2 linked regions of the Stegostoma tigrinum genome follow. The protein of the gene in region 1 interacts with the protein of each later gene in a pairwise test. Links are inferred from orthologs where the notes say so. Each region holds a gene or a part of one and is shown in the gene's direction. Other genes may lie near its edges.

The links.
Region 2: the proteins of lamina-associated polypeptide 2, isoforms beta/delta/epsilon/gamma-like (region 1) and lmnb2 interact in a two-hybrid assay, tested with the Homo sapiens proteins (2 studies listed by BioGRID, with this or other methods). The link is inferred for Stegostoma tigrinum from reciprocal best matches to the Homo sapiens genes TMPO and LMNB2.

The regions. Positions count from the first base shown.
Region 1 is NC_081378.1:53,057,443-53,073,281, forward strand, and holds the start of lamina-associated polypeptide 2, isoforms beta/delta/epsilon/gamma-like, read left to right. Parts: upstream 1-8,142; 5' UTR 8,143-8,210; coding exon 8,211-8,441; intron 8,442-15,839. UniProt on the Homo sapiens protein: May help direct the assembly of the nuclear lamina and thereby help maintain the structural organization of the nuclear envelope. Possible receptor for attachment of lamin filaments to the inner nuclear membrane.
Region 2 is NC_081383.1:27,590,057-27,606,564, reverse strand, and holds the start of lmnb2 (lamin-B2), read left to right. Parts: upstream 1-10,458; 5' UTR 10,459-10,612; coding exon 10,613-10,962; exon of another isoform or gene 10,963-11,991; intron 11,992-13,107; exon of another isoform or gene 13,108-13,294; intron 13,295-13,890; exon of another isoform or gene 13,891-13,899; coding exon of another isoform or gene 13,900-13,921; exon of another isoform or gene 13,922-14,256; intron 14,257-14,824; exon of another isoform or gene 14,825-14,866; coding exon of another isoform or gene 14,867-14,942; intron 14,943-16,508. UniProt on the Homo sapiens protein: Lamins are intermediate filament proteins that assemble into a filamentous meshwork, and which constitute the major components of the nuclear lamina, a fibrous layer on the nucleoplasmic side of the inner nuclear membrane.

The DNA.
Region 1 (15,839 bases):
CCGGGCAATGGGAATGAAGGGACAGATGGAGGGGCTGGACCTTGGACTTGGGGAGGGTACTGCGGTCACTGCCCACAATGGGGGTACGAGGTGCGAGCATTAGTGTGCGCAGTATCAAGTCCACCACAAGATGTGTGTCCACGTTGGCCTACCTGACCACCATCAAGGCGGACCTCCTGCAGGAGTGCGGGATACGGCACCTTGGCAGGTACGGGAAATGGTCCGGTGCCTGGACCTGTGAGCCTTCGATCTGGTCGGGGGGTAACGACTGTCGCTCCTCGGGCCTGGCTATTCTGCTGCGGGGGCGCAACCTCACCATCTCTCAAGTTCAGGAGGTGGTGGGGGGGGCGCCTCCTAGTGGCTGACGTCACCTACAGGAACGCTCCCCTGAGGCTGATCAACGTGTACGCCCCAGCGGTACGGAATGAGCGGTTGGCCGTCCTGCAGCGGCTTCCACCCCTGCTGGCTACATCGAGGCCGGTCATCCTAGGCGGAGACTTCGACTGCATCATCGATGCAGATGGAAGATCCGGCGTGGGGACAGTGGGTGGCGGGAGTCAACTGGACGTCACGTCCAGATTCCTGATGGGCACGCTGAAGGACACCAAGCTGCTCAACGTCTTCAGCACCCCTGCAGACGGAGCGCAGCGGAGGTACACCTGGTCGCGGCCAGACGGGTCTATTCGCTCAAGGATAGACTTCCTGTTTGTGTCACGGGCGTTCTTGGTCAGGTCCACCGGCGTCGAGCCGGTGTTCTTCTCTGACCACTGCCTCCTGCTGGCCGACTGTCACTTACAGGACGACCAGCCGGCCGGCAAGGGGACGTGGAAGCTCAACACGACTCTGTTGACCCCAGAGAATGTCGAGGAGCTTAAGAGGGAGTACACCGGTTGCAGAACCGTGAAACCCCTCTTTCAGTCTCCGGGCGACTGGTGGGAGACGGTGAAGGAGAACATCAAGAGGTTCTTTGTCCTCAAGGGTGTTCGGAAGGCGAAACTGAGGCGGGGAAAGCTGTCGCGACTCCAGAAAAGGGTGCAGAACCTGCTCCTTCTGCAGTTGATGGGGGTCGATGTCACGGAGGACCTCCGCAAGGTGAGGGGCCAGCAAGCCTCGCTCTTCGCCGCGGAGGCCTCCCGGATAATCTTCCGGTCCAGGGTCCGCTCCGTGGAGCAGGATGAGACATGCTCACGTTTCTTCTTTCAGAAGGTGCACAAAGAGAGCTCTGTGCTTAGCCGGCTGAAGGAGGACGACGGCTCGGTGACGTTGTCTCGGCCCGACATTTTGAGGATCAGCAGATCCTTCTATGCCGGACTGTACAACACGAAGCCCACGGACAGCACGGCCTCTGAGTCATTCCTGTCGTCTATCACGGAGGTCTTAGACAACGGCACATGGGAGTGGCTGGACCGGCCGATATCCCTGGACGAGCTGACCAGAGCCTTCAAGTCCTTGGAGAGGAACAGGACTCCCGGGAGCGACGGCTTACCGGTCGAGCTGTATTTCGCTCTGTGGGACCTGGTCGGCCAGGACCTGCTGGAGGTGTACCATAGTGCGCTTCGGGCAGGGGAAATGTGCAAGTCCATGAGGAAGGGCATCATCACCCTCATTTACAAGAGGAAGGGGGAGAGGGAAGAAATTAAGAATTGGCGTCCCATTTCACTATTGAACGTGGACTACAAAATCCTGGCCAAGGTCATAGCCAACCGGGTCAGGTCTGTCCTGGAGTCGGTGATTCACCCTGACCAAACCTATGCTGTGCCGAGCAGGAAGATCGCTGAGAGCCTCGCGCTCATCAGGGATACGATCGCCTACGTACAGGACAGGTGGGTGGACACCTGCCTCGTCAGCCTGGACCAGGAGAAGGCCTTCAACAGGGTCTCTCATGCTTACATGAGGGACGTCCTCTCCAAATTGGGGTTCGGGGAGGGCATCCACAATTGGATCCGGCTGTTCTACACCAATATCGTTAGCGCAGTCTCGATCAACGGGTGGGAATCGGACAGTTTTCCCGTCAGATCTGGAGTCAGGCAGGACTGCCCGCGCTCTCTTGCCTTGTTCACGTGCTGTGTGGAGCCCTTCGCCGCATCCATCAGGAAGGACGTGAGCCTGAAGGGCGTGACTATCCCAGGCAGCGGAGGCCTTCAGGTCAAGACCTCCTTGTACATGGACGATGTCGCCGTCTTCTGCACCGATCGTCGGTCGGTGAGTAGACTATTGGACATCTGCGGCCAGTTTGAACTGGCCTCGGGTGCCAAAGTCAATAGGGGTAAGAGCGAGGTCATGTTCTTCGGGAACTGGGATGACCGCTCCTTCATCCCCTTCACCGTCAGGACAGACTACCTGAAGGTGCTGGGTGTTTGGTTTGGTGGAGCTGGGGCGTGCACTAAGACTTTGGAGGAGCGTATCACCAAATTGAAGCAGAAGCTGGGGAGGTGGACGCTCCGGTCCCTCTCCATCGCGGGTAAGAACCTTGTTGTCAGGTGCGAGGGGCTTTCGGTACTGTTGTATATGGCGCAGGCCTGGCCTATTCCCTGGACCTGCGCCGTTGCGGTCACCCGGGCCATCTTACACTTCATTTGGGGGTCGAGGATGGACCAGGTCCGCAGGGACACCATGTACAAAGACCTGGAAAATGGGGGAAAGGGCGTACTGAACGCCACCCTCGCCCTGACGGCTACCTTTGTGTGCGGCTGCATCAAGCTGTGCGTAGATCCTCAGTATGCAAACACCAAGTGTCACTACTTACTGAGGTTCTACCTGTCCCCGGTGTTGCGAAGGATGGGCCTGGCCTCGTTGCCGCGGAACGCTCCGAGTAGTTGGACCGTCGCATACCACCTGTCCTGCGTGGAGAAATTTTTGAAAGGAAACACCTTTGAGCACAAGGCCATCAGGCAGTGGTCAGCACATAGTATCCTCGAGACCCTTCGGGAAAAGGAGAGGGTGGATCCCGTCGTGTGGTTCCCCACGCAGACTGCCAAAGTTGTTTGGCAGAATGCCTCATCGCCAGAACTTTCAAACAAGCACAAGGACATTGCTTGGCTGGCGGTGAGAGGGGCTCTGCCAGTGTGATCCTTTATGCATGCCCGGAATCTCTGCGCCACCGCACGCTGCCCTCGAGGTGGCTGCGGGGGGGACAAGACTGTCGATCACCTCCTTCTGGAGTGTGCCTATGCGCAGGAGGTCTGGAGGGGGATGCAGTGGTATTTGTCGAGGTTCGTCCCGAGCAGCTCCGTGACGCGGGACTCCGTGCTCTACGGGCTGTTTCCCGGGACGCACACCGAGACCAACATCAACTGCGCCTGGAGGACCATCAATGCGGTGAAAGACGCTCTTTGGTCTGCCGCAACTTGCTGGTCTGCCACCTGAAAGAACTGACCCCGACCGAGTGTTGCAGACTGGCGCACTCCAAGATCCAGGACTACGTGCTGAGGGACGCGCTAAAGCTTGGGGCAGCTGCCGCCAAGGCGCGGTGGGGAAAGACCACGGTATGAAACCCCTCGTCCAGAATAGAAAAAAAGGGCCCTATCTGGTAACTGGGCCCAGCTGGCGCCTTTCCCAACTGGTCAGGGGGCCAACGGGGACTGTGCGGGGTGACGACTGCCGGGGTATTTTCTTTGCTTTGTTTTTTTTTCTTCTTTGTTTGTTTTTTTCCCTTTAGTTGGTGTACGTACCCCCTGGGTAACCCGGAGCGGCTTGCATGACTGGGTAGGTGTATAAATATGTTTTTTTTGTACATCTTATGAATAAAGTATATTTTTTCAAATTAAAAAAAAGTGACGAAATGTCTGAAAACTAACCTTCCAGCTCAGCGAGCAAACTCACATCCAGAACCTCAACCTGAGCTACAAATCTTCTCAAAACTCGCTGGTGTCTCTGCTCTCTGTAGTCAAAATTCACCGTAACCCCAAGGCCTCCGCCACTTCCTCTGGCACTCAGTCCATATACGCACCACATTCCATGTGAAAATGTTGCTTCTCAGGTCCCTTTTAAAAATCTTATCCCTCTACCTTAAGCCTTGAGTCTCGTTTTGAACTCACCTATCCTTGGATAAAAAAGTTTGCGATTCACCCTATTTACTTCTTTCTTGGCTTTCTAAACCTTTACAAGGTCACCCTTCAGCCTTTGACAATCCAGGGAAAACGGCCCCAGCCTATTCAGCGTCTCCCTTTTGCTCAAAGCCTCCAACCCTGGCAATATCCTTGTAAATCTTTTCCAAGCCCTTTCAAGTTTTACAACATCCTTCCTATAGCAGGGAGACCAGAATTGCACACAGTATTCCAACAGTGGCCTGTATAGCCACAATATGACATGCCAACTCCTACACTGACCAACAGAGGCAAGCGTGCCAAATGCCTCCTCCACCACCCTGTCTACCTGCGATTCCACTTTCAATGAACTATGAGACTGCACCTTAAATGTTATGAGGGTTACTGCTTCTTACAGGCAGTGTGTTCCAGATTCTGACCACCCTCATCTCCTCAAAGTCTTTTGACCCTTAACATAAATCTGTGCCCTGGGTCATTGATCGCTCCAAGGGGAGATGTTTATTCCCATACACCCTGTTTATGCTCTCAATTTCCTCTGTTCCAATGTAAACAATCACAGTCTGTCCAATCACTCTTCATAACTGAAACTTTCTAGCCCAGGCAACTTCCTGGTAAATCCCCTCTGCACCCTCTCCAGATGATTTCCTATCTCTCACTGGCATCTTCAGACATCAAGCTTGCCTCCTGAGTGGCCAGTCTCCCACCATCCACTACATGGAGGTGAGGAGTGGGACCAAAATCACAAGTCCTCTCAGGATGAGAATAACTGAAGAATTGTGCCAAAACTCAGGATAGTATTCACTTGACCTGCAAGTTAGAAGGATGAAAGCAGCTCTATCATGGGAAGCCAATAATCGCCATTCCAAAGAGGCTGCTATCCCGTCACCAAGTCACCCTTTATTTGCACGTGGAGAAATTTTTACACTGATCCAGATTTCTCACAGCCAGCTTGCAAAACAAAATTTTACCTGTCCATAACTAGGTACATGTGACAATAATAAATCAAAGCAAAAAATGCTCCACCTGGCTGAATTCGTTACAATCGCTACAGATGCAGTAGCTAAAGGAGTCTCTTCAATTAGTGACAGGCAACAAGTATCAGCATTCTCGATGAAGCTTTATAACAAAGCAAAGGAAATGAAAAGTTTCGACATCAGGAGCAGGACGACATGTGACAGCTGAAAGGACACCTAAACCTTCTGGAGGGCAGTAGACGGTATTGGCTGCCATTCCCACTCCCGCCCAGAAGGTGGTGCTGCAGTGTCACAAGGGTATGGGTGGTGGGCCCCGAGTGGGCGCACGCTGTGGGTGGGGGCGACCCCGGGAAGCAGGTACCACGGGCTGAGGCGTGGGCCACCGTCAGTACCAGGACCAAGCAGGTTCGCAGCTGAATTAACAGTAAAAAAAATGCACTGCGAGCTGCAGCTTTAAGAAGATTTCCCAGAGCAGGATTCTCAGACCTCGTGGCGCAACGGTAGCGCGTCTGACTCCAGATCAGAAGGCTGCGTGTTCGAATCACGTCGGGGTCATCGTTTTTATATAAACTACATCATCTATATATGGAATGACGTGTTTCATTACTTAAGTGCTGCATGCATTCTATACATCTCAAAATTGTTCATTGAACAGGTATTTGCCTATTTTATATTGCTCTGATTTGTTTTATTCAATTAGCTGTAGTCTCACGTTCGCCTCCTGTAGGAATTTCTCCCCCATGATAAGAACTGCAACCTCAGGATTTGGGTAACTGAAACTGGACAGAAAACTAGACCTTAGTCGCTGACTCCAGGCACTAGTTGCTGACTTTGGACAGAAAACTGAACCCTGGACATGGGCATTGGCAAGTGACACTGGTCACTGACACTGGAGTGTGATGCTGAAGTGTTATTGCTTTTTAAAGAGAGTGGTTAAAATTAAACTAAACTTAAGATTTGAGCTGCTCCAATATGGGAATGCATAGTTCATGCATTCAGAAGCAATGACTAACACAGCTCCCAAAAGACTGGAAACTAACATGGTCCAAATGACATTGGTCTACCTAGGGAAGAAGCTACTGAACAGATCAAATGACTCAGATCTGAGTTAGTTCTTCACACACGATGGAAGTGAGGGTGGAGAAGACAGGAGAGAGGGACTTAAGGAGATGTTTTGTATTGAAGAAGGGAAGCCAGCATTTGTCAACTGTTTACAATATTTTTTCTACTTTTTTTATTTTAGTAACACCTCATACTAAATTTGGTATCAAGCTGGAAAAACCTTCAAACATTCAATATGAGATGTCATTGGATCCAGACATGGTAGGGGAAATTTCACGAGGGCTGAAGAGCTGAAGAACACTCAATGATGCTGGGTCAAGCCAGCCTTCCAGCTCCCTGCTTCTTGTGCAAAAACAAAGTTGCTGGAAAAGCTCAGCAGGTCTGGCAGCATCAGTGGAGGAGAAAACAGAGTTAATGTTTCGGGTCCGGGTGACCTTTCCTCAGAACTGCTTCTGTAGTTCTTCCTGATCCCAGGTTCAATGATCATCATATGTGCCAATCTCAATGCCAGCTTAACTGTGGGATTTAAGAATGTTTGTCCATGGCTGGCATTTCAAACCAGAAACAGCATTATGTGCTATAAGACTGACATCCACTGGCTTGAAATCTGTATGGTGAAACAGACCAAACCAGCACAAGTAACAATTTATGTACATCAAGGTTCCAAAACATATAACAGCATATGACAGAAAACATCAATGCACTGACAGCTCACTACTACTGCACTCCCTTCCTGCCCAGCTGTGAGAACCACTGCACCCCAAAAACTGAATTCATTGCTGTCACAAATCTCTAATCATTGCATCTATATGTGATCCTTCAAAGAGGCTCTCTAAGGAATTCCACTGGCAGCCTAAAGGCATTCAAAGACATTTTAAAAGCCTTTTATATTCCAAAAAAGACATAATTTACTACAAATAACAAGGAAAGCGCTTGTTTATTCCAAGGGGAATTGAACATACAAAGTAATGAGTTTATACTTCAGTTATTCAGGGTACTGGTAAGACCATATATGGAGTATTGTGTAAGTATTGGTCACTTTATCTAAGGAAAGGTGTTAATGCAATGGAAAAAACTAAGACAGACAAACAGGGTGCTGAAAGAACGCAGCAAGACAGGCAGCATCTGGAGAAAAGGAGAAATACCCTTCGGGTATTATCCTTCTTCAGAAGTGGATGTGGGGTTAGGGGGAGCTGCAGATAAAGGGAGAAGTGTAGGAGGGGAGGTAGCGGAATGTTGCAGATAAGTGGACACATAGTAGGTACAGGTGAATCCAGTTGGTGGCTAGAAGGGAGGGTCAGTAGCTGGGATGAAAGGGAGGATGTGCGCTGGGTGGGAAGGTTATTTGAAATTGGAGAACTCAATTTTGAGTCTTCCACGGTACCCAGCAGAAGATAAAATGTTGTTGCTCAAATTTGTGTTCTGAGTTACTTGTGACACTGGAGGAGGCTGAGGATGGAGAGTGGGAGGGGAATGAAATGAGCGGTGACCGGGAGGTTAGGTTGGCTGTTACAGGCCAGGCGTAGATGCTTGGTGAGACAGTCTACGTGTGGTCGCTAATCAAGTTTATACCACTGTGAAACCTCTTCAAAGGATGCCCACTTTGAAGGAGTTTTCTCCTTGCCTCAGACATGAACTCAGTGAGTCCCATTTCTCGCTGCCACACCACCACACCGTTAACCCCTCTCTTTATCTGCAGCTCCTCCTACCCCCACATCCAGTCCTGAAGAAGGGTAATACCCGAAAGGTTGCCTGCTCCTTTCCTTCATATGCTGCCTGTCTTGCTGTGCTCTTCCAGCCTCCTGTTTGTCCAGCTTAGATTCCATCATTTGCAGTTTTTTGTGTGTCTCTGATGGAAGAAGCTGAGAGAAGGTTTAGCGCAGACTGCTTTGAGGAAATGAGAAGCTGTCCTGCATCCTGTGGAGCTGTGAGGAAGACAATGTGGACCATGGCCAGGATCACCCTCCTTCTTCCCGCCTGACCCGTTACCCTGGGTTACAGCCCCACCCAGTTACTCCCTCTATCCAATTGGGGAACGTGTTAGTGCGGCCCCAGGGCCAATGACGGCCCGCGTTGTTGGTGGGTGGCAGAGCGGGAGTTGTGAGGCCTAGAGGGAGCTCGAGCCGCGATGCCCGAGTATCTGCAGGACCCGTCGGTGCTGACCAAAGAGCGGTTGAAGAGTGAGCTGATCGCCCACAGCGTGCAGCTGCCGCTCGGGGACCAGCGCAAAGATGTCTACGTCCAGCTTTACCTTCAGCACCTGACGGCGCGGAACAGCGGCCGCGGCACGGACTTCTCCAGCGATGAGGAGGCGGACAGCGGACTGGGGGCAACCCGAGGCCGGGGCCGAGCAGGCAAGGTGAGAAAGCCAGGGAGTGGGTGGCCTGGGACATTAGTAAGCCCTCCATCCCTTTCTCCCCAAGTCCCCGCTCAATGTTTATGAACGCTCCATCAGAATCAGAAAGTGGCGCCAATTTACTCAACTTCCGTTCATGTGTGAAAACCAAAAACCAACTCCACAGGCGAAACTCTTCAAACATAAACGGAAAGTGATGGTGAAACTCTGCGTAGAATTTTTGTTAGAATCCCTGCAGTGTGGAAGCAGGCTATTTGGCCCCTCAAGTCCACACCGACCCTCTGAAGAGCATCCCAGTCTATACCCTGTCCCTGTATTTCCCATCCTAGATACTGTGGGCAGTTTAACATAGCAAATCCACCGAACCTGCACATCTCCACATCGCGGAGAGAAATAATGTTAGCATTTGCTGTCCACTTCAGAACTGAATCTTTTGAAGGAATACATTGACTTCTTCAGAACTTGTGACAATGTTAACTCAGTTCCTCTGTCCATAGATACCACCAGACCTGCAACATTCTCCAACATTCTTTTTGCTCCACAATTCCAGTATCTTCGCTATTTTGCTTTTATTCACACAGGTTCAGTTAATCTTTTGTTTAACTTGCCTTTCCCATTTCACAGTTAGGAAGCATACATACCCACAGCATTCAGTCCCGCTTCTCATTGCGGCACATTGACTGCAAATATCACCAACCGTGACCCAATAACTGACCCAAGTGGTGAAATCCCAGATTTCACCCATCCATGGAAAACATGGACAATGGTTGTCAGCTTCAGGACAGCTAGGCGGAAATGTCGCCATTAGTTCCAGAAGTGGAATATGAGGAACTATCTGTCATTCAGCCTGACACCCGAACATTATTGAATGTCACTCGACTATTATTCAACTAGTTAGGACTCTCCTGGTTCCATTCATATTTTTTGCCATACCCAGAGCATATTTTTCAGTTGTTTCATTTCGTGTTCCCACGTGACTCTCATTTCCTGCTCATCCATCATTTTTGTGCTCATCTCTTGTAGGCTTCTGGCTTTCATATAACCATTATGATGTCAAAATTCTCATCCTGCATTCAAGTCCTCTATGGCCTCACTGTCACATTTTAGTTATGATTTCCTTGGAGACTGACAACTTTTTCAAAGAAGGATACCTACAGAAGGAAAACTGCTGGGCAACTTTCACTGGAGTACACTGACTAAAATTGACAGAATTTAAACATTAGCAAATGAAGACTATTTCAAGTTAAAGGATGAATTACACTTCTAATAGTTGATGCTTCAAAGATGTCACATTTAGTGTAAGCATTCATGACTTCTCACATTTGACAACTATGTCATCTTCATAAGATTTTTAGAGGTAAGAATAAAAGAAGACCATTCAACCAGCTGAGTTCGCTTCTCCATTTAGGGCAATCATGGCTGATCTCATAATTCTCAACTTCACTCTCCTGCCATTTTCCCCATTACACTTGATTCCCTTACTGAATAAAAATCCAATAATGTGAGCTTTTGAATATTAATAACACAGCCTCTGCAGCTTTCTGCGGTAAGGAATTCATGGCTAGAGTTCCCTTTGAGGAAACACCCTCCCTGTATTTGTCTTAAATGGCTGACATCTGACTCCGAGATTAAGCCCTCTGACTATAGACTGTCCTACATTGGGAAACAACTTCTCTGTACCTGCCCTGTCAAGCCCACTCGCTGCCCAGTCAATGGATTTGGCTATCAAGTCACTTTTATTGGCAGTTAGATTTTGTCTACGTACATGAGATATGGTTGACCCTGTCAGGTGCATGTCTAGAGAGCCTGTCTTTTTTTCTTGTGTTATGGCAATCCCAATCTTCTTTTTCTTTTAGACTGTTTATGACTATTTCAGTGCGTGTGATACACAATTACTGTGTTGTGTCTGTTTGTAAGGCGTCCACTCAAATCAATGCCCATCTCTAAAACTGTCTCCTTATCTATGCCTCCTATGTATATTTCTATTGACTAACACTAAGTTAAAGCCGGTTCTTAATAGGTGTTGTTATTCAGCTGCAATCCTAGTTTCACTATTTATCTCATTTCTTAATGGTAAACTTCAACTGAATTTGAATCTAACAGCTGTAACCAACTGGTAGAGCTGATGAATAGTATGCTGGAGTTTTGAGAATTTTAGTAGATAAGAAATAGGAGCAGGGATAAGCCATATAACCCTTTTCCATCATTCCATGAGATCAAAGCACAACATAAAGCTCAATTCTACTTTCCCACTTTTGTTTTTTAGCTGGATCACATTTAGAAATATGGTCACTTCAGATGCAGATTGTAACTCTTTCCAGGGGAATGGCTGGACTGTTGTTCGATGTACTCCACTGTGTCTCTGACAGAAGTTTCTGGTAAAAAGCTGCATGTGATGAACTGTTGCCCAAGACCAGATGTTGTCATAATGCAGCTGGTTTTGAAATGTTACTTCCTAGTTTGAAGTTTTGCTGTGACTTGCTAAAGTTTTTACAGTTGTTGATTCCGCTAAATTACCTTCAAACTGCATTGATAAATGTTACTAACAAATTCAGTGCAAGGATATTTTGCCTTGAAGCTGCTTTGAATAAAAATTATAACTTGCCAGTAGAAGCCAACACTCACTATCTTCCTGTTTGTAGATTGAAAATTGAATTTTTTTTTGCCAGTTATCTTTCAGTAATTTCCTATTCTTTGCAACAAATGTGTAACTCCTAATCTGGGGGCAGGGCAGTACTCAAAGGCTTCCAATTATTAAATTATTGTCCTCAGCCATAAACAGCTACATTTATCCCTTCGACCATCACCTGAGCAATAAACAATTATTCAGCTACCTCGTTTGTTTCTCTTGACTCAAATTATAAGTCTGACAGCAAAATCTGGGTTTTTGACTCTATTTTTCAAAGAAGTAGACCGTCAGATTTTCTAGAAATAAAGAATTGCAGTCATTTTAACACCTGTTTTATCTTTATTGCCTGCTGAAGGTGAAAAAAGGAAACACATTTGAGGGAGTTTTAAAATTCCGAGCTAAATGACTATTTTTCATTCACAAGACATAGGTTTTGCTGGCTTGCAAGCATTTCTTGCCCATCCCTAGTTGCCCTTGTGAAGGAGGTGATGTGCTGCCTTCTTAAACTGTTGTAGTTCACGAGCTGTAAGTAACCCCACAGTGCCCTGAGAGTGAGGGAATTCAGGATTTGACCAGCGACAGTGAAGGAACGACAATATATTTCCAAGTAAGGGTGGTGAATGGCTTGGAGAGGGACCTGCAGGTGGTGGTGTTCTCATGTATCTGCTGCCCTCGTGCTTCTAGATGGAAATACTGTCTATGGATCTTTTGGTGAATTTCTAGGAGCATCTTGTAGATAGTAACACTGCTGCTACTGAGTTTCGATGGTTGAGTGAATGGATGGTTGTGGATGTGGTGCCAATGAAGTGGGCTGTTTTTGTCCTAGATGGTGTCAAGCTTCTTAAGTGTTGATGGAACTGCACCCATCCATGCAAGTGCGGAGTATTAAAACGCACACTGACTTGTGCCTTGTAGATAATGGAGAGTCAGAAAGTAAGCTACTCGCTGCATTATCCCTAGCCTCTGACCTGCTTATGGACCCTCTCTGTTCATATAATGATCCCAAATTAGTTTCTGGTCACTGGTAACTCCCAGGATATCGATAGAGGGGATTGATGATGGTAACACCAATGAATATCAAGAGTCAGTGATTAGGTTGTCTCTTATTGCAGATGGGCATTGCCTAGCATTTATGTGGTGCAAATGTTACTTGCCATTTGTCAGCTCAAGCCTGAGTATTGTCCAGATCTTGTTACATTTGAAAATTGACTGAAGGGTCTGAAGAGTCAACGAATGGTTCTAAATAATGTGCAATCAACATGCATAACGCTACTCCCCACCTTTTGATGGAGGGAAGGTCGTTGGAACACTTGAAGGTGGCTGGGCCTAGGACACTACTCTGAAGAACTCCTGCAGAGATGACCTGGAGCTGAGACGACTTACCCCAACCGTCTTCCTGTCTACAAGGTATGACTCCAACGAGCAGATGTTTTGTCCACTGCCTATTGATTCCAGTTTTGCTAGGGTTCCTTGGTTAAATACAGCCTTGATGTCAAGAGATGTCATTCCTGCCTCATCTTTGGAATTCAGCATTTTTGTCCATGTTTGAACCAAGCTGAATCGAGGTCCGAAGCTTAGTGGCCCTGGTGTTACTCAAACTGGGTGTCAGTGAGCAGGTGCTGCTGGATAGCTGTGTTGGTGGCATCTTCCATAACTTTAGTTATGATCAAGAGTAGGCTGACGGGGGATGATTGACTGGGTTGGATTTGTCCTGTTTTCGTGCACAGGCCATACCTTGGTAATTTTCCATGTTGGGTAGGTGCCAGTGTTGTAACTATACTGGAACAGCTTGGCTAGGAGTGCAGCAAGTTATGGAACACAAATCTTCAGTACTATTGTCGGAATGTTATCAGGGCCCATTTGTAGTATCTAGTGCCTCTAATCTTTTCTTGACGTCACATGGAGTGAATCAAATTGGCTGAAGACTGGTATCTATGGTGTTGGGAACCGCTGGAGGGAGTAAAGATGAATCATCCACTTGGCACTTGTGGTTAAAGATTGTTGTGAGTGCTGCAGCCTTACCTTTTGCATCAATGTATTGGGCTCTTCCAGCAGTGAAGATGGGGATATTTATGGAGCTGCTGCTCTTCCAGTGATTTGATTAATAAAACACCACCATTCACGACTGGATGTGAATGGACTGCAGAGCTTAGACCTGATCTGTTGGTTAAGACCATAAGACATAGGAGTGGAAGTAGGGCCATTCGACCCATCAAGTCCACTCTGCCATTTAAATCATGGCTGATGGGCATTTCAACTCCGCTTCCCTGCACTCTCCCCATAGCCCTTGATTCCTTCTGAGATCAAGAATTTGTCGAACTCTGCCTTGAAGACATCCAACGTCCCAGCCTCCACTGCACTCCGTGGCAATGAATCCCACAAGCCCACCACTCTCTGGCTGAAGAAATGTCGTCTCATTTCAGATTTATGTTTACCCCCTCTAATTTTAAGGCTGTGCCCACGGGTCCTAGTCTCCCTGCCTAACGGAAACAACTTCCTAGCGTCCACCCCTTCTAACCCATACTGGTTGCGTATCATTTTGCTTTTTCTCTCACTTTCTGCTTATGCTGTTACACCTCATTTTGAGGTATGTCGGTACTGCTCTTGGCATGCCCTCCTGCATTCTCCATTGAACCACAGTTGTTCCTCTGGCTTAACACTAATGGTTGACTGGAGGAAATGCCAGGCCATGAGGTTACAGCTTCTGTTGGGATACAATTCTGCTGCAGTTGATAGCCCAAAGCACTTCATGGATGCCCATTCTTGAGTTGCTAGAACAGTTTGAAGGTTGTCCCATTTAGCAAGGTAATAGTGCTAAACAGCACCTTTGTAGATTATTCTCAATGTGAGGGTGGAACATCGTCTCTACAAGGACTGTGCAGTGATCGCTTTTACTGATACTGTCTTGGACGGATATCTCTGCAGCTGACAGATTGATAGTTTTCTTTCCCCTCTCGTTGGTTCCCTAGCCACCTGCCACAGACTCTGTCTACCAGCTGTGTCCTTTAGAACCCGATCAGCTTGATCACACGTGCTGCTGACAAATTGCTCTTGGTGTCGACGTTGAAACCCCCCACTCAGAGTACGTTTTGCACACATACCACCCTCAGTGCTTCTTCCAAGTAGTGTTCGACCTGGAAGTGAACTGATTCATCAACAGAGTGAATACAATACTGGTGATCAACATAAGGTTTCTTTTCCCATGTTTAACCTGAAGCTATGAGCCCTAATGGGTCTGGAGTCTTTGTTGAGGACTCTCAGGGCCTCCTTTCTGACGAAATACTTCTGTACCACCACCTCTGCCAGGTCTGTCCTGCTTGTGGGACAGGACATATCCAGGGATGGTAATTGTCTGTTATGTCTCCATGAGTATGACTGTCAGGCCGTTGCTTCAGAGATAATGGGAACTGCAGATGCTGGAGAATCCGAGACAACAAAGTGTGGAGCTGGATGAACACAGCAGGCCAAGCAGCACCTTAGGAGCACAATGCCAACGTTTCAGGCCTAGACCCTTCAGCAGAAAAAGGGTCTAGTCCCGAAACGTCAGCTTTTGTGCTCCGAAGATGCTGCTTGGCCTGCTGTGTTCATCCAGCTCCAAACTTTGTTACCTCAGGCTGTTGCTTGATTATTCTGTGATGGAAGTAAGGAGGACTTTGCAGGGTTCACAGGGCCATCGTTTAGGTCAATGTCAGGTCGTTCATATCTTTGTTGAGACTTCGTAACAATTGCTATGACTTGGTCGACTTGCTCGACAATTTCAGCGGGCACATAAGAGTCAACCACATTGCTGTGGGCTTGGAGTTACAGGTAGGCATGACCAAGTGAGGATGGTAGATTTCTTTCTCTGAAGGACTTTAATGAACTCGATGGGTTTTACTGACGTTCAACAATAGTTTCATGATTGTCAGTAGATTCTTAATTGCAGACTTTTTTATTGAATTCAAATTCCACTAAATTCAAGCCCAGGTCCCCAGACCATTAGCCAAGTTTCAGGATTAATAGTCTAGCAATAATCTTACTAGACCTTTGTCTCCCCATGCATAGAGTAAGGATCAAGTATTTCTCCCGGTGCTTGTTATTTGCACTTATGTTATTCTGTTATGCTCTTTGTTGAATTAATGCTGCTTATCCTCTCAGCCACTAATAATTTAACTACGCATTCATAACCATTACATGCACAGGTGTAGTGTCAGGGTTCTGTACTTCATGCTTCTGGAGTTGCATGCTTTGAAGGTATTTTGCTTTTATTAATTACCCATGAACAGCTCTAGCAATATTTCCTTTCAGAGTAGAACTATCCTTTAGAGGGATTGTCATGGAGAATGAGGAAATGACTTTGAACGATTGTTTTGTTTGTCTTCGCAATTCACACAGGTTAGATATCAGGAATCAAGTTTTGCCTTAACACTAACAAGTACAAATTTTGAGGTAATATGAGCAGATTTTAAAAAATCTCAAAGGCCTAAAATTAGACAAATCCCTAGAATCTGATGGTCCACAACCTGAAATTTTGAAAGTGATAGCTGAAGCAAAAATGCATACTCCTAGGTATTAAATTAGAAAATTCCCGTATTCTAGAAAAATCTGAGCAGATTGGAAGTTAACAAATGTAACACTGCTATTCAAGAAAGGAGGGAGAGAATAAATTGAACCACAGGCCAGTTATCTTGACTCACATGGGCAAAGTGCTGGAATCAATTATTAATGAATTCTTAGTTTACTTGATCTAATTATACTCTGAATTTCTAAGTCAACATGTTTTTGCAAAGTGT
Region 2 (16,508 bases), on another chromosome or scaffold:
AAATGCTAAGATTCTGGAAGAGAAGCTAGATGTTGTAAAGCTTTTTTTTCAAGATAAGTTGATAAATTTATTGTTATTTCCTTGTTAGATGTGAATTAAACATTTGTTCAAACTGTGCAGTCCTTTGTGTTATGCTTTTGAGTGGCTTTCTTTTGTTCACCTGCCCCTAATTTCCCCCCTTTTCCTGTAGGCCCCAGTATTTCTATAGTGTTATTTTCAATAATGTGTAGTAATGTAGAGAAGGCTCGCAAATGATTCTCGGGGGGGAAAAATGTTGTCTCATGAGGAAAGACTGAGCCTGTATCCACTGAAATTTAGAAGAATGAGAAATGATTTTTAAAAAAACATCTTAGAAGACTTGATCAGTGATGGTGAAAAGTTGTTTTTACTTTCTAGAAACTGTTAAACCTAGGAGAAACAGTTTAAAATGATGAATCTTTATTTTTAGTGAGATGTGTTTTTTTCAAGGGATTTTTAATCTATGGAAATCTCTTCTAGAGAGCAATTGAGGAAAATTGAATATTTTTAATGCTGACTGAGACAAATTCTTTATTGATGATGGAGTCAGTGGGTGTGTCTGATAGGTGGTCCGGTTTCCTCCCCAGAGTCCAAGGATGTGCACGTTAAGTGGATTGTCCATGCTAAATTGCCCTATAGTGTCCAGGGATGTGCAGGCTAGGTGGGTTAGTCATGGTAAATGCAAGGTCACAGGGATAGGATTTGAGGCAGGGGCTGAGTGTGATGCTGCAGAAAGGATCGGTGTAGACATGATGGGCTGAATGGCCTTTTTCCGCACTGTAGGGATTCTGTGACATAGAGGATAGGTAGGAAAGTAGAATTGGGGCCTAAATCAGATTACCTATGATCCTATTGAATGGAGGAGCAGTGCTGGAGGCCAAATGGCCTACTGATGCTCCTAATTCTTCCAATGTTTTATACATTTTCAGCAAAATACCATGACTTTATAATTGGAAGATTTCTAAAAGCAAAGGATTGCATTTTTAAAAACACCTTTTGGCCGCCTGGTGGCTCAGTGCTTCGCACTGTTGCGTATCAGTGCCAGGGACCCAGGTTCGTTTCCACCCATGGGCGACTGTACGGAGTTTGCACATTTTCTCCATGTCTGTGTAGGTTTCCTCCGGGTGCTCTGGTTTCCTCCCACAGTGCATAGATATGCAGGTTAGGCCATACTAAATTGCTCAGTGTCTAGGATGTGCAGTTTAGGTGGGTTAGCCATGAGAAATGCAGGATCGCAGGGATAGGTCTGGGTGGGGTGCTCAGCAGAAGTTCACTGTGGACTCAATGGACTGAATGGCCTGCTTCCACATTGTAGGGATTCAATGATTCTTGACCTGACCAGCCAACTTTAGAGAGACATGTCCGTAGAATCGTAGCTTTTTTTTATCCCAAATTCTGTAAGATTTTGGGTTCAGAAGTCAAGGATAGTTTTAAGTTAATTGATTTAGGTTCATTATGAACTGACATTCATGAGAAAATTATATAATCCTTGACAGTTGACAATGATTCACTGATCCAAAGGACAAAAGGCTGATTGGCACAAAGTGTTGATTTTAGTATTGTAATGGCATTTCCTGACCCTTTCTAAATACTTACATAAAAGGCACATAAATGCAAGAAGACTCCTGACAACTGTTCCAGAATGTATTAAGATCAGTACCAGGTGTAGAGTTTTTGTGATCTTTTCTCTACTTTGCCTTAGAGTTGTTTGTGCTTTTCTAGGAAGAGGAAAATTTGTGGTGTACCAGCTTTTTATAACAGTTGTGTTTTATGCTGAAAACTTTATTGAATCTGTTTCTTACATCCCAATTTTAAACTTGTCCTGTTTTTTGTTTGTGTTGCCTTATCTGCCGAATTAATTTTACCAGTCCAACTTCTTCTGAAGTTTGTTGCTTGTTGCTCTCCTCTTCATTGTTTACTACATTTCTGAATTTCATTATATCTACAAACATAGAAACTCTGCATTTTCCCATTAATTAACCATAGAAACAAATTCAATATGTTTAATTGAGCTGGAAGTTTAAATATAGTTTTACAAACATTATTTATTTCCCCTTTCTTGTTAATAACAGAATTCACTGATCTTACTTGGCAACAGCCTTTTTCTTTGTTTAAAGATACCACAGTCTGTGTTGCCAAAGTGATTAGCCTCAACCTGGATTCAAGTGTAGTATTAGAGATAATGGGAACTGCAGATGCTGGAGAATCCAAGATAATAAAAATGTGAGGCTGGATGAACACAGCAGGCCAAGCAGCATCTCAGGAGCACAAAAGCTGACGTTTCGGGCCTAGACTCTTCATCAGAGAGGGGGATGGGGTGAGGGTTCTGGAATCCTCACCCCATCCCCCTCTCTGATGAAGGGTCTAGGCCCGAAATGTCAGCTTTTGTGCTCCTGAGATGCTGCTTGGCCTGCTGTGTTCGTCCAGCCTCTCATTTATATTCAAGTGTGGTATTGATGTGCTGTGAATATCATTGTGCATGTTTGTACCACTGAAGGTCCCATCTTCAGCCAGGCTGTTTGAAAAAGCCACCAAGTCACTCTACTTGAGTCTCCAAGCTACTCTGTATAGAACAGCTTTTAAATCATGATATTCAGAATGGCATATCACCAAGTGCTTTATAACCAGTTCACTAGTTGTTGAAATATAGTCACTGTTATCATGTAGAGATCACTGATGTAACTAGACGTTAGTAGGAAATTAATCTTTCCATATTTTAGTGCAGCTGACTACTATATTACCATTGATGTGACTCTTCTGATGGCATAAAATGCAAAGGTAGCAAGATCAAAAGAGCAGAGCTTGGAAATATTGTGCCACATTAGCTAAACTCAAGTAGGTCAGTGGCTCTCAACAGGGTCTATAGACCACTATTGGCTTACAATTATCCTTCAAGTTGAAAGCTGATCCAAAATGTTAGCCACTGAACTGTAACACCATGGCCAAGGTTATAGAAGAGAACAGACCAAAAGCCTCTATCACTTGTGACGTCACACAACAGATCAGCTCTTACATGCATGGTATGACTCATCATAAACTTGACAAGCAATGTAGTTTTAAAAGCAAGATTTATGTTACTTTACAATATAAAAGTGCAAGACTGTGTATTTTTCAACTCTTGCAGGGCTGAAAACAGAGGAACTGCTACATGTAGAGTCCAATGTGAGACTGAACCTCTTCAGCTCAGGGCCAGGTATCACCTCATTGAAATTTCATCAAAAGTAACAATGTACTTATGTACTTCCCATTAATTTTGCTGAGTTTTATTGAAATGGCAAACAAAAGCAGAAGGGGTAGATGATCAATGTTCACAGGTGCTCACAGACAAAACAGTTTGAGAACTCCTGAAACGAATCTAGCATTATGGTCTGTAATTTATCTTTGTTAGGAGAACAGGTAGCAGAGTATGGATGGGCAGTAAAAAGTACTCGTGTGATTCTCCTGGCCATCATGATGGTGTCCTGTGGAATATCACTGGATCAGTGCTGGATCCTTATTGTTTATGACATGTAAATGATGTAGATGAGAATGGCAGGGCGGGGCAGGAGTGGAAAAGGAAGAGAGAGATGATAAGTAGGTTTACAAATGACAAAGATTGTTTGGTGGTTACCAGTGAGAAAGAAGAGCTTAGATTACTGGAAGATAGAAACAGGTTGATTAGATGGCATGCAGTACGTGAGCAGGGTGATTATGCTGGAGCTCTACAAAACTTTGGCTAGCTCACAGCTGGAGTACTGAGTGCCGTTCTCGTTACTGCAGTGTAAGAAGGATGTAATTGTACTAGGGATATCAGTGATAATGGGAACTGCGGATGCTATAGAATCCAAGATGACAAAGTGTGGAGCTGGATGAACACTTTGTGCTCCTGAGATGCTGCTTGGCCTGCTGTGTTCATCCAGCTCCACACTTTGTTGTCTTGGATTCTACAGCATCTGCAGTTCCCATTATCACTGATACAGCTTTAATCTCACTGCGAAGCCTCTTGCAGGGATGCCTAACCTGAAGAAGTTACCCTCCTCCCTCCGGACCAACCTCAGGGAATCTATCTCCCACTGCAACTCTCTTGTAATACCTATCTTCTTTTCTGTCCATTTTTGGTCCGCATCCCCCTCTCTCCCTATTTATTCCAGTTCTCTCTCCCCATCCCCCTCTCTGATGAAGGGTCTAGGCCTGAAACGTCAGCTTTTGTGCTCCTGAGATGCTGCTTGGCCTGCTGTGTTCATCCAGCTCCACACTTTGTTGTCCTTAATTGTACTAGGGGGTGTGCAGAGGATATTAACCAACATGCTGGCCAGTTGGATTTTGCTATGAAGAGAGTTTGGATAGATTTGTTTTTTTCCTTTTTGGAGCTGAGAATGCAGAGCGGGCAGACCTATTTGAGGTGCATCAGGATGATAGAAAGCAGCTGTTCCCCTTAGTTGACGGGTCAATAACAAGGGAATGTAATTTTAAGGTGAAAATCAGGGGGTGTAGAGGAGATTTCAGGAAAAGTGTTTGGGTGTGTGCTTGAAATATCATAACATTCAAGGCTATGGGCCAAGTGTTGAAAAGTGAGATTAATGTAGATAAATTGGAACAGACTTGATGGACCAAAGGACATCTTCTGTGCTACATGTCAGTGTTAGGGCTGGTTTTGAAATCAATGAAAACAGGATACTGTCCCTGATGTACCCCAATTCAAACAGCACATCTATTTAGCAGAGATACCAAAGTGTTAATGACACGATTTAAAAAGTTACATCAGCAACTGTTAGTAACATGGAGAAAGAAGGCAAAGATTGATAAAAGAATACTTTACTAAATCCAAAGCAAACATTATTTTTTGCCACAAAAGCTTCTCCAAAGCTGGAAACCACAAAATAAAATTCAAAAGAACTGTGGATATTGTCAGTCAAGAACAAAAACAGAAGTTGCTGCAAAAGCTCAGCAGGTCTGGCAGAATATGTGAAGAAAAGGTCAGTTTACTTTTTGGGTCCTTTGAGGAGGAAAGACCAGACCCGAAACCTTAACTCTGATTTTTTTTTTCTTCACATGCTGCCAGACCTGCTGAGCTTTTCCAGCAGCTTTTTTTTGTTCCTGGAAAATGCAATGATTTTTGTGTACAAATTTCCATTTCAGAATTTATTGTTACACAAGTAGAAAATGACATGTATGCAATAAAATCCACATAAAATTGACAAAATATAAACTATTCAAACCACTAGAGGGCCATAGATTCACTTTATAATCAAAAGAAAGTGGGTGAACATTTTCGCAACCATTCCCTTTTTAGGAGAAATCAGCAACAATGATTTCAACTGCTAAAAACTTTTTTTTTGAAAAAGAGACTCCAGATATAATAAAACCTAAGCCTTGTTGCAGTAGATCAAGTAAATAACATTCCAGTTTAAAGGGAAATGTGGTAGATGGTGACATACATTTAACACCTTTTTACAAAATTGCTTGTCAATTTTTCCAGTCTTCCTAATCTGAAGGAGTTGATACAAATGCATTTTTTTAAACTTTCAAATTATTCCCCACCCCCCACACACTCCTTTTAAAAATCTCACCAATATTGCAGTGAACTAGGTCAGACAGCGATTTTTTTCCCTCCTCTTTTCCAACTGTTGTTTCCTCCCATGATAGTTGATCTAAAGACAACTGCTGGATATTTGGACAAGTCTTTTCCACGCTGTTCTGGGAATAACCCATGTGCAAAGGAAACTGTAATGAAATCATGACTCCTAGATATGCACCCATTTTAAGTTGTTCTGATTTTACCTAGGTGTGTCACCTATACTGGACTACATTACATGAATCATACAAAGGATGAATGCTGAACAAAGTTGAAGCTGACACTTGATTTATTAATTATTGATTTGATTTATTAATTCTGTGCTGTTTGTCAAAATTACATTACTTGTTGGGAACACCTAAATCCTTGACATTTTGCAAATACATTTTAAAGATATGGCCAACACATACAAACTGCAATATTATGTTGGTGCCAGCACTTTGTAAATATTTCAACGAAATAATAATATGTACAAACAAATAAGTTGAACTTTAATGGGCGAGAGGCCACCTGATAGAAGTTGACAAAATTATGATAGGAATCAGTAACCAGAGTCTCTGTTGCAGGGTTGAAATGTCAATTACGAGAGGACAGAGGTTTGAGGTAAAAAAAAGGGATAAGTTTAAAGGAGGAGAGATGAGAGGCAGGTTTTTGTTTACACAGAGGGAGGTAAGTGCCTGGAACACTGACAGAGGAGGCTGATAAAACAGCAACATTTAAGTCTCTTGATAGAAACATGAATAGGCAGGAAATAGAGGGATACAGGACAGCATAGAAGTAAAAGGTTTTTAGTTTAGAAGATGCAGTCTGGTGGGCTGAAGGGCCTGTTCCTGTGCTGTATACTGATCTTTTTTTGGTTCTCATATTGTAGTGAAGTAATGCATTCAGCCCAGTAAATTACAGTACAGGTAGGGCAAGTGAGTCTTTAGATATACACAAAGGCCATAAAATGCTCAAGAATTGAGGTAGAAATCTCAAGACAAAAAAAAACTTGGTCTGTTTGAACTCTACATTGGTTTTTAAAATGAAATCTGTCTTCAAAATCAGAGTTTCCCAGTGGTTGATAAAGAGCTGATGAGTTTCAATTCCTCGCCACTAAGAAGTAACCAATTGTAAACGTGTGGCTTCTGCTCTGTTTTTGGTCACCATTTCTCAGTCATTAAATGTTTAGGTATCTAATGGCTTCTTGCTTTTTTCCCCCACTTCCGAACCTCTTGATTTTAATAAGGGTCATACCGAGCTGTCCCCGCACTGCAATACAATTTTTTTACATAACAAGTACACTTTTAAGGGCATCACATACATATGGCCCAACTAAAGTGATAGGTTAAAATAAAACCAAAAAAAATCTGTTTGCTTTGCTGGCATGTATAAATTATATTTTAATAGTGAGTTTTGAGAAGATTTGTAGCTCAGGTTGAGGTTCTGGATGTGAGTTTGCTCACTGAGCTGGAAGGTTCGTTTTCAGACGTTTCATCACCTTTCTAGGTAACAACATGGGTGAGCCTCCAGTGAAGCGCGGGTGTTATGTCCCGCTTTCTATTTATCTGTTTAGGTTTCCTTGGGTTGGTGATGTCATTTCCTGTTCTTTTTGTCAGAGGATGGTAGATAGGCTTATATTTTAATTTTCCACTGCTGGGTCAGTCATCTAGTTCAAGCCAGGAAATTGTAATTAAGTATAAATATTGGACCAGTAATAATATTGATATATGTACAATTTCAAGATTTTATAATCACACTCCAAGACTTCAGTGCTCGTTCCAGTGTGGTAGTGATGCAAGTATATGGCACCTCAGACAAGGAAGATCACTTAGGATGAGATTTTAAAATTGAGGTTGCAATATATTTTTATTTCAGAGTTTGAGCATGTATTTTGCTTTTTACAATTCCAGGCCATAGTTTGATGTTTTAATTCCTGCAAAATATCTGCATTTTGAGAAATTAAGCAAAGTATTTTTCATTTCCTTAATACAAAAGCCAAATACTCGGCATCTGACTCAGGTAGCCTGGGAACATCTATGGAGAAACAGCATTAACATATCTGGTCAGTGACCTTTCATGTGGGAATTCCACTCCTGCCAACTTATTCTAGCATTTCTGGTTTTATTTCTCTTTTGTCTATCATAGCACAGGTGATTTATAATCGTTCAAAGTTGCAATGTAAAAAGATACTTGGGATAGAACTTTCAGTGTTCCTCCTGTTTTACCAGTTTTGTGCTTTTTCTATATAAACAAAATTTAAGACTAATTTCAATTTGAATGATTTGAGTACTTTGGTACAATCTGCTGGAATTACATAAGTGAATTTAACTTATTCCAATTGATGTGTTTTAAAAAGTGAAATTTTGTAAATGAGAAACATGGATTTCAGTGGTTGAGTAAATTAGGCGCACCAGCTAAAATAAAGTGTGTTGACTATAGCCAGTTGTGACTTCTAATACAGATTGGAGATTGCACCAAATGACAAAGGGCAATGAAAATGAAGAAAACAATAATAAGGTATGATTTAAAGATCGTAAGAACAGCCCATGCCGGAGTCAGAGATAACACTGTGGACCTGGAGGAACACAGCAGGCCAGGCAGCATCAGGAGCAGGAAAGTTGACGTTGCGAGGTTTGATTTAGCGTATGTTGCTATTTAAATGGTTACATCATGATTATATCCTGACAACAGTCAAGCCATATGGCGAAAGATATTATTCAGATAATCGCTGTGGTTAAAAGGAAGATTGACGTATGTTGTAAATCTAATGTGCCACAAATTTCAGATTTGAAAAGTTATTACCATCACTGACTTCATTACGTAGACCAGAGGTGACACCCTGCCCACTCCACACAAAAAAGTCAGTGTAAGAGATGGGAAAATTGAGAAGACATAATCACGGAATTGTTAGGTGTAAGAAGCTATTCAGTCCACCTTGTAGCAACGGCTCGTGAAATGAGAAAAGAGTTCCAGAAAGATTAAGTGAGGGCGAAGAGTCTGGTTGAAAAGAACAAACTCAGAGCAAACTGACTTTTGTAATCTATTTCTACAATCCATTCTACAATCCGACCCCACCACCCAAGACATTTTTCCATCCCCACCCTTGTCTGCTTTCCGGAGAGACCACTCTCTCCGTGACTCCCTTGTTCGCTCCACACTGCCCTCCAACCCCAGCACACCCGGCACCTTCCCCTGCAACCGCAGGAAATGCTACACTTGCCCCCACACCTCCTCCCTCACCCCTATCCCAGGCCCCAAGATGACTTTGCATATTAAGCAGAGGTTCACCTGCACATCTGCCAATGTGGTATACTGCATCCATTGTACCCGGTGTGGCTGCCTCTACATTGGGGAAACCAAGCGGAGGCTTGGGGACCGCTTTGCAGAACACCTCCGCTCAGTTCGCAATAAACAACTACACCTCCCAGTCGCAAACCATTTCCACTCCCCCTCCCATTCTTTAGATGACATGTCCATCAATAGGCCTCCTGCAGTGCCACAATGATGCCACTCGAAGGTTGCAGGAACAGCAACTCATATTCCGCCTGGGAACCATGCAGCCCAATGGTATCAATGTGGACTTCACCAGCTTCAAAATCTCCCCTTCCCCCACTGCACCACACAACCAGCCCAGCTCTTCCCCCCCACCCACTGCATCCCAAAACCAGTCCAACCTGTCTCTGCCTCCCTAACCTGTTCTTCCTCTCACCCATCCCTTCCTCCCACCCCAAGCCGCACCCCCATCTACCTACTAACCTCATCCCACCTCCTTGACTTGTCCGTCTTCCCAGGACTGACCTATCCCCTCCCCACCTATACTCTCTCCACCTATCTTCTTTTCTCTCCATCTTCGGTCCGCCTCCCCCTCTCTCCCTATTTATTCCAGTTCCCTCTCCCCATCCCCCTCTCTGACGAAGGGTCTAGGCCCGAAACGTCAGCTTTTGTGCTCCTGAGATGCTGCTGGGCCTGCTGTGTTCATCCAGCCTCATATTTTATTATCTCAGTGTTTTTCTGTTCCATATTAATAAGATTTTAAAAAATCAAATACATTAACCAATTGATAATTTAGACAGGTATATTAGGTGTGAGCAATTCAATTATGGAAACTCAGGCTCAGGTTAATTTTACTTTTGTCTTCGTGTCTAACAAATATAATTGTATAGGCTATAGTGGGCAGTATACAGTACATAGCACGCTAATCAAAACAAAAAACAACATTTTGCGAAAGGCGATACGTTACATATCACGGAGCTGAACGTGAGTGAGTGAGCTGAAAATAACTAATCGGTGGCGAATTGAATATTTCCTGTAGAAGAAAATTTTAAAAACCTTCTATTTCAGCCTCTGGATTATATTAAAGAGGGGCTGTTTGGCAACGAGGATTACTTCATTATTTAAGTAAAAAGGGGAAATACAATATATTGAAGCTGGCGATTCTTAATGTTTAGTTTTTCAAAAAAGATTAGTCGTTTGATCAGATAATGACCTCACCCCTCTCTCAAATTACACTTAAATCCCGAGACAATTCCTTCATATCTGTTGCGGTTTGTCGACGCGCGCCAAAATTTGAAAACCGCGCTTTCCGTTGGGGCGCGGACGGCCGTGGAGGTGGGCGCCAGCACAAATGATTGACAATTAACTGTCTGCAGACGAGCCAATCGTTGCTGGGGGCGAGTACCAGTCTGGTTCTGGACTTTGTGTATGGCACACTGGGATTTGTAGTCCACCCGGCTTCAATCCTGGGTCCAGAAAATGCAAAACTGACAATCAACGAACATTCGTGGGTTTAGACGAAGCAAGGCAACATCACGCGTCGCTCTGGAAGCCAGTCATCAACATCCGGACAAAGAGTCAAACAGGGCGGCTTAATCGGACTACAATTCCCGGCCTGCAGCGCATCTACTTCCTTCCGTCATCTATACCCCTGGAGGAGCGCCGCATGATAACGGCGCCATTTTCTAGTTCATTGAATAAAAGGGGTTTAGCAGCACGGGTTTTTACGAAACAGTAAAAGTGTATTTTTTTAATTAATCGGGTAAATACCAAGGCGTTTTAACCATGTCAACTACTCCGGCTCAGAAACAGACCCGGGCCAGCGGGGCCCAAACGCCTCTGAGCCCGACTCGGATCACTCGAATCCAGGAGAAAGAAGAGCTGAAGAATCTCAATGACCGCCTGGCCGTTTACATCGACAAGGTACGCTCCTTGGAGTGCGAGAATAGCGTTCTGCAACTTAAGATCTCCGAAAAGGAAGAGGTGACGACCCGTGAACTGACCGGCATCAAGGCCATGTATGAGACGGAGTTGGCCGACACTCGGAGATTGCTTGACGAGACAGCTAGGGAAAAGGCGAAGCTGCAGATCGAACTGGGCAAGAGCAAAGCGGAGCTGGATGAACTCAGCAAAAAGTAAAGTAGTATATGTAATACCCGCTTTTTAATATGAACTTGACTGATTGGTTGTCTGTTTATATTGAATGTGAAGCTGCATTTTCACACGTGCCCTTTCCCATGTTGTTAAGTTTCAGTTGTCAATCTATTCAATGTCTCCTTTTTTGAGAGGGAGAGACCGTTGAGTCAAAGTACCTGTTAAAGTTTTGATTTTTCGTGTGTGTATGTTTAGTGAACTAAACCATCGTAGTCCTCCTTCACCCAACTGTTTACATTTTTTGACAGTCGTATTCTAATTTAAAATTGCTAATATTGGCAGTTGTTGAAATTACTTTTCCGTACTTAACACTCCCTGCCTGTGTAAGAAGTTCTTTTTACTAAGTACTATGATCTTCGAGTAATTATAGCTACTTGTTTATACTTTGTAACATTCTAAAATAAATTTGGTTGAATTTACTTTTAACTACATTGTAGGAATATTTTAATACACATTTTGTCAAGGCCAAAGAGGAACTATTGACCAAGATTAGTCTTTTGTTAAATTTTGCTCATGACTTTTTGTCTGTATTTGACACTCGTAAGAAATAGGAATTTAAATAAGCTATGTGGCTGCTTCTTTAATGAGGTCACAACTGATTATCTATCTCTTTCACATTTCTCTTCCTTCCCCCATCCTTTTGGTGCCCAAGGATCTTAATGATCTGCAGTCTTTAAATATCTTCATAGAGATGAAGGGTCTTGACCTAAAACGTCGACTTTCCTGTTCCTCTGTCCTGTTGTGTTCTTCCAGCTCTACACAGTATTGACCTTGATAGGGAAGATATTTGGAGCTTTTTGCTTAATTCCTTTTATAGAATCTTTCAACTCCTTTTCATCTGATTTTTCTTTTTAAAGTCAAAATAAATCCATGTAAACAATTCTCCTGAAAGCTCATTGTATAGCTCTTTACCTTTTGTGAAGTTCAATGAACTGACCGTTCTTTGGTTACTGTGGACAGTGGGTGTTGTCAGACTATGAAGGCAACAGCTGATGCTGCAGAACCTGAAGCTGGGAAAGAAGGATAGGCTTTAGTTTTATTTTGAAAAATATATTGGTCTACCTGTTGAATTTCCTCTTTGAGCATAAAGTTAATCAATATTGAAGTTAATGGGAGATCAATTTTCAATCAACGTGAAGGAAGTTCCTTGAAAGTGGAGTCACCGGTAGATGAAAAAGGCATTTGGCATGCTTGTCTTAATTGGTCAGTGCATTGAGTACAAAAGTTCTTGGACGTCATGTTGCGGCTGTACAGGGGATTGGTTAGGCCAGTTTTGGAATACTGCCTTCAATTCTGGTCTCCCTGCTATAGAAAAAAATGCTGTTAAACTTGAAACGGTACAGAAAAGATTTACGAGCCGTGATTGGGAGGCTTGAATAGTAGGTAGTGGCTGAATTAGGGTAGGGCTTTTTACCCGGAGCCCTGGCCCTTAGAGGCTTATAAAATAATGCGGGGCATGGATAGGGTGAAAAGCCAAGGTCTTTTTCCAGGGTAGAAAAATCCAAAACTAGAATACATAGATTAAAGGTGAGAGGGGAAAGATTTAAACAGGACCTGAGAGGCAACATTTTCTTGCAGAAGGGTGTGTCTATGGGATGAGGTAGTGGAGGCCGGTACAGTTTCAACACTTAAAAGGCATCTGGATCGGTACGTCTGTAACAAGGGTTTAGAGTAATATGGACCAAATGCTGGCAAATCGGACTAGACCAGATATCCTAAACTGATAGCAAGGATGAGTTAGACCAAATGGTCTGATTCTGTAGTGTATAACTGACTTAGTGAAGGTGGGTGACGGGTCTGAAGTGTATAAATTTCTTCTGCTATGTCTGAATATAGTTTTGGAGCTGTAAAATGTTTTCAATTGTTTGGGGTTTGTTCAAATAATTTGTACCTGATTTTTAGTTCCTGCTGTAAATGCTGAGTTTAACTACAGACCTATGGCATCTGGGACTTGTATCCAAAATTTTTGGTTTGAAATGTCAGTCTGGTTACAAAAACCTTTCTCTACTCAAGGAAAGTTTGTCTTTGCACCTCCTTGTCTTGATCAGTAACATTTGCAAACTGGGAGACAATTTTTTTCTGCTGGTGAAACACATGTTCCTCATGTATATGAAATCATTTCTCACCTTGGTGACCAGGTGCTTCTGTACTTTAAACCATGTGACTACTCAAGAGTTTAGATTCTTCACAGTATATTTGCTTCAGGGATGGGTGTTCTGATTTCTGAATCTTTACCTTGCTCTTCAGGGGAAGATGATGGGCTGGGGTCAGAGGTAATTTTAGAATTATCTTGCCTGCTGTAGCCTCGACATCCTAGAAGCAAAACACAAATGCATTATCAAAAAAATTCTACTTGAAAACATCCCATGATGAAAGCTGGCAGATATAATTGAATGGCAATATTGTTTGTCACTCGTAGGTCAGTTTATGCAAGAGCTGTAAACTGACCCGTGGTGCATTTTTTTTTTTTTTGCTTTTGTTTCGCTATTTCTGTTGGCAATATGACCGACTGAAGGTCAAAATATTGTATGTAGCGGATGGGACTGGAAAGCCACTAGGTGTGTGGCGCTGTAGTTGAATCATGTTGGCCAGTACCTGCTGCTTTATACATGCAAAGCGAGAAATGGCTACCCTAGTTGCAATTTGGTTTTTCTTTTGCTTCTGCAATATATCTGGCGAGCTTACTGATTTGTATGTCAGCGCGTTGCTTTGTCGTTGTTTTCTCCGTAGCGCTGTGACCACCTTTTTGACAATTTCTTTTAAAAATCCTTTAATTGTAATTTGAGTGGCAGTTGCAAGTGCTGGAATCTCTTGTCCCATTAACACAGTTACAAATGTGAAAATGGGATTGCTGTTGAAACGAAGATAATGGTTTTATCGGTTTTAAATGCGAAAATTGATGGACGGACGTTTCTGAAATGAAAATGTACCGTACCCAAGGTGCGTTCATTCTCTACAAATGGAGAGAATATCCTTGTTTTCATGGTATATTAGTATGTTGAACCAGCGCGGCATCTCTTAATTTCCTGATGTAAAGCCTGCTAGTCTTCCAGGCATTATGAAAAATTGCTTCACCATTTTGTGGTTCCATTGTAGATCTGTTTTTTTTCCTCTGGCCCCGTTGTGATGGGATTCATCTTGAAAATATGAATCCTGTTCTAGTTGGATGAAATAACGTTTCCTTTTATTTCGGCTTTAACCAAAACCTGTCTTCCATTAATTTTGGGGGAGGGGGAGAACACATCTGGATGGCTGCTATAAATTTCAGTTGGTTTAATACGCCTTCATTTTTGCTGCCCCAAGGGGACTGCGCGCAATGGTTTTGTTATCTACACCCTAATCCTTTGTGCCAGACCTAATGTTCAGGAGTAATGAATAATCACGCCCATTATTTCTTTACTGAATAGAACAAGACGTGTAGAGAAGAATCCATCACATTTTAGGGAATATGCTCAGGAATAATTACATCTATTTAAAACCGATGGGGTTGGCGACCTAATCTAATTCGGACGTTATCGATTTTATTGTTTGTTATTTTGCTTTATCTCCGGATACCGCGCTATATTTGTATTGGGTGGGGAAGGAATACCGGTTCTTATCCAGCTTTTAATGTTCTTAAGCCGTTGGTTGCAGCGAATGCATGACTCCATTGTATCGAGCTGGATAGAATAGCCACTAGACGAAAGTGGAACTGGAGGAATACCGGCCAGGCAGCATCAGAGGCAGGAGAGTCGACATTTCGGGCCTGGGTCCTTCGTCAGGACTGCTGCACACTGTATTGACTCAATTAGAAAACTTTATCGATTTTTTTTCTGTTTCTGAATAAGATCTCTTTTTAATCTACTGCAGTGCAGCAGCTTCAACTAATTTGTGTTCGTGGATTTAATGTCGGCTAGATCACGCTATAACAGGAAACGGAATGAAACTGAAATGGGTCAGCGGTTCCCGGCTTTCTTTCGAGGTGGGGGACGTGGATATTCTTTGGGAGGGAGAGGAGTATCGTTGTACTCTAAATCGCTGAACATGCGGGAAATTTTAGCTAAGGCAATAGTTTAAAACAATTTCCAGCTAAGCTTCAGTTTTTAGGGGCTTCAGAAGTCCAAAAATAGCGTTGCTGTACACACCCTTCATCACACTAAATTGTAGCACAGCAAGTGAGCAGCCAATCGAATGTAACTAAGTATCCAATAAGGATCAGGATTGAGATTTCTCATTAACTTTGTTCCTGACACGGTGGATTCTGTCTTTTACAGTGCATTGGTACTGGATAGTTTGAATCAGGAGGGCGGCTGTAGCAGGATTTGAAATCGTATTGTGGTTTCTCGTGTCTAATTTCTCGTTTTAACATGTTTCGGTTGCAAAATTGAGTAAGAGTTTATTTTAAACAGTTGGTTTTGACATAAGGAATTACGCAGATCACTCATTCAGTTGTTTTAACATGGCAAATCGTGATTTTTTTAAAAATTTGCTTGGGATTCCAGGTGCACAACTAAAAGAAGGATTGGCCAAGATGTTTTGTAAAATTAAGTCTAAACGAGTGTTTTGAATGAATTTGGGGTCTTTGTCTAACAATTCAGAAATTAATTGTTGTATAGTATGATGAAAGGTGTCTAATGTCACTTTGAAATGTTGGATTTTTTAAAAAGGCAATTGGAATTTGGTCAGTTATTTGGATAGTGACCTTAAATCCATTAGTTCCATGGTGCATGATTGTAATCAAGTTCTGTACAGATCCCTGCAGTGTTAATGGACGAGATATTGTTGGGTTTATGACAAGCAGAGTAAATGTTTTAAAGGCAATTAGTTTAGATTTATCACTTCATAAGGGGAATCCACAGTGGCCTAGTGATTACCACTGCTGACTTTCAACGCCAGGGATACGGGTTTGATTCCAGCCTTGGGTGATTGTGTGGCGCTTATATTTTCTCCTGTCTATATTGGTTTCCTCCCACAATTCAAAGATGTGCAGGCTAGATGGATTGTCCATAAGTGTCACAGGATGTGTAGGCTAGTTGGATCAGCCATGATAAATGAGGATTGGGTGGGATGCTCTTTCGAGGTCATGGCAAATGTGGCCTTTTCCTATACTGTAGGGATTCTATGAACAGAATATTTAAAGCTTACAAATCTGAGAGGATAATAGAAATTTCTGGAAAGGGTCAAGTTCTGAGGAAGGGTCACTCAACCTGAAATGTTAACTCTGATTTTCTGTCCATCAGTGCAACCAGACCTGCTGAGCTCTTCCAACAGTTTCTATTTTATCTGTGTTTTAAAACTTACAGTTCAGAAGAAGAAGAAATATTTCCTCTAAGGAGAACCATGTTTTTTTGGGGGGGGGGTGGTGTGGGTCCGCAGGAAGTGGGGAAGGCAGTTTCCACCAAGTCAGTTCAGGATAGCTGTCACTTCAGTTTTATCTCTATAGTTTCTGAAACTTCCAGGTCAGAATTCCATATTGTTAGAACTGAGAGTTGAGGCCATCTGAATTGTGAAAGTCATGCCATCAGATGCTGAAAGGAGTAATAAAATT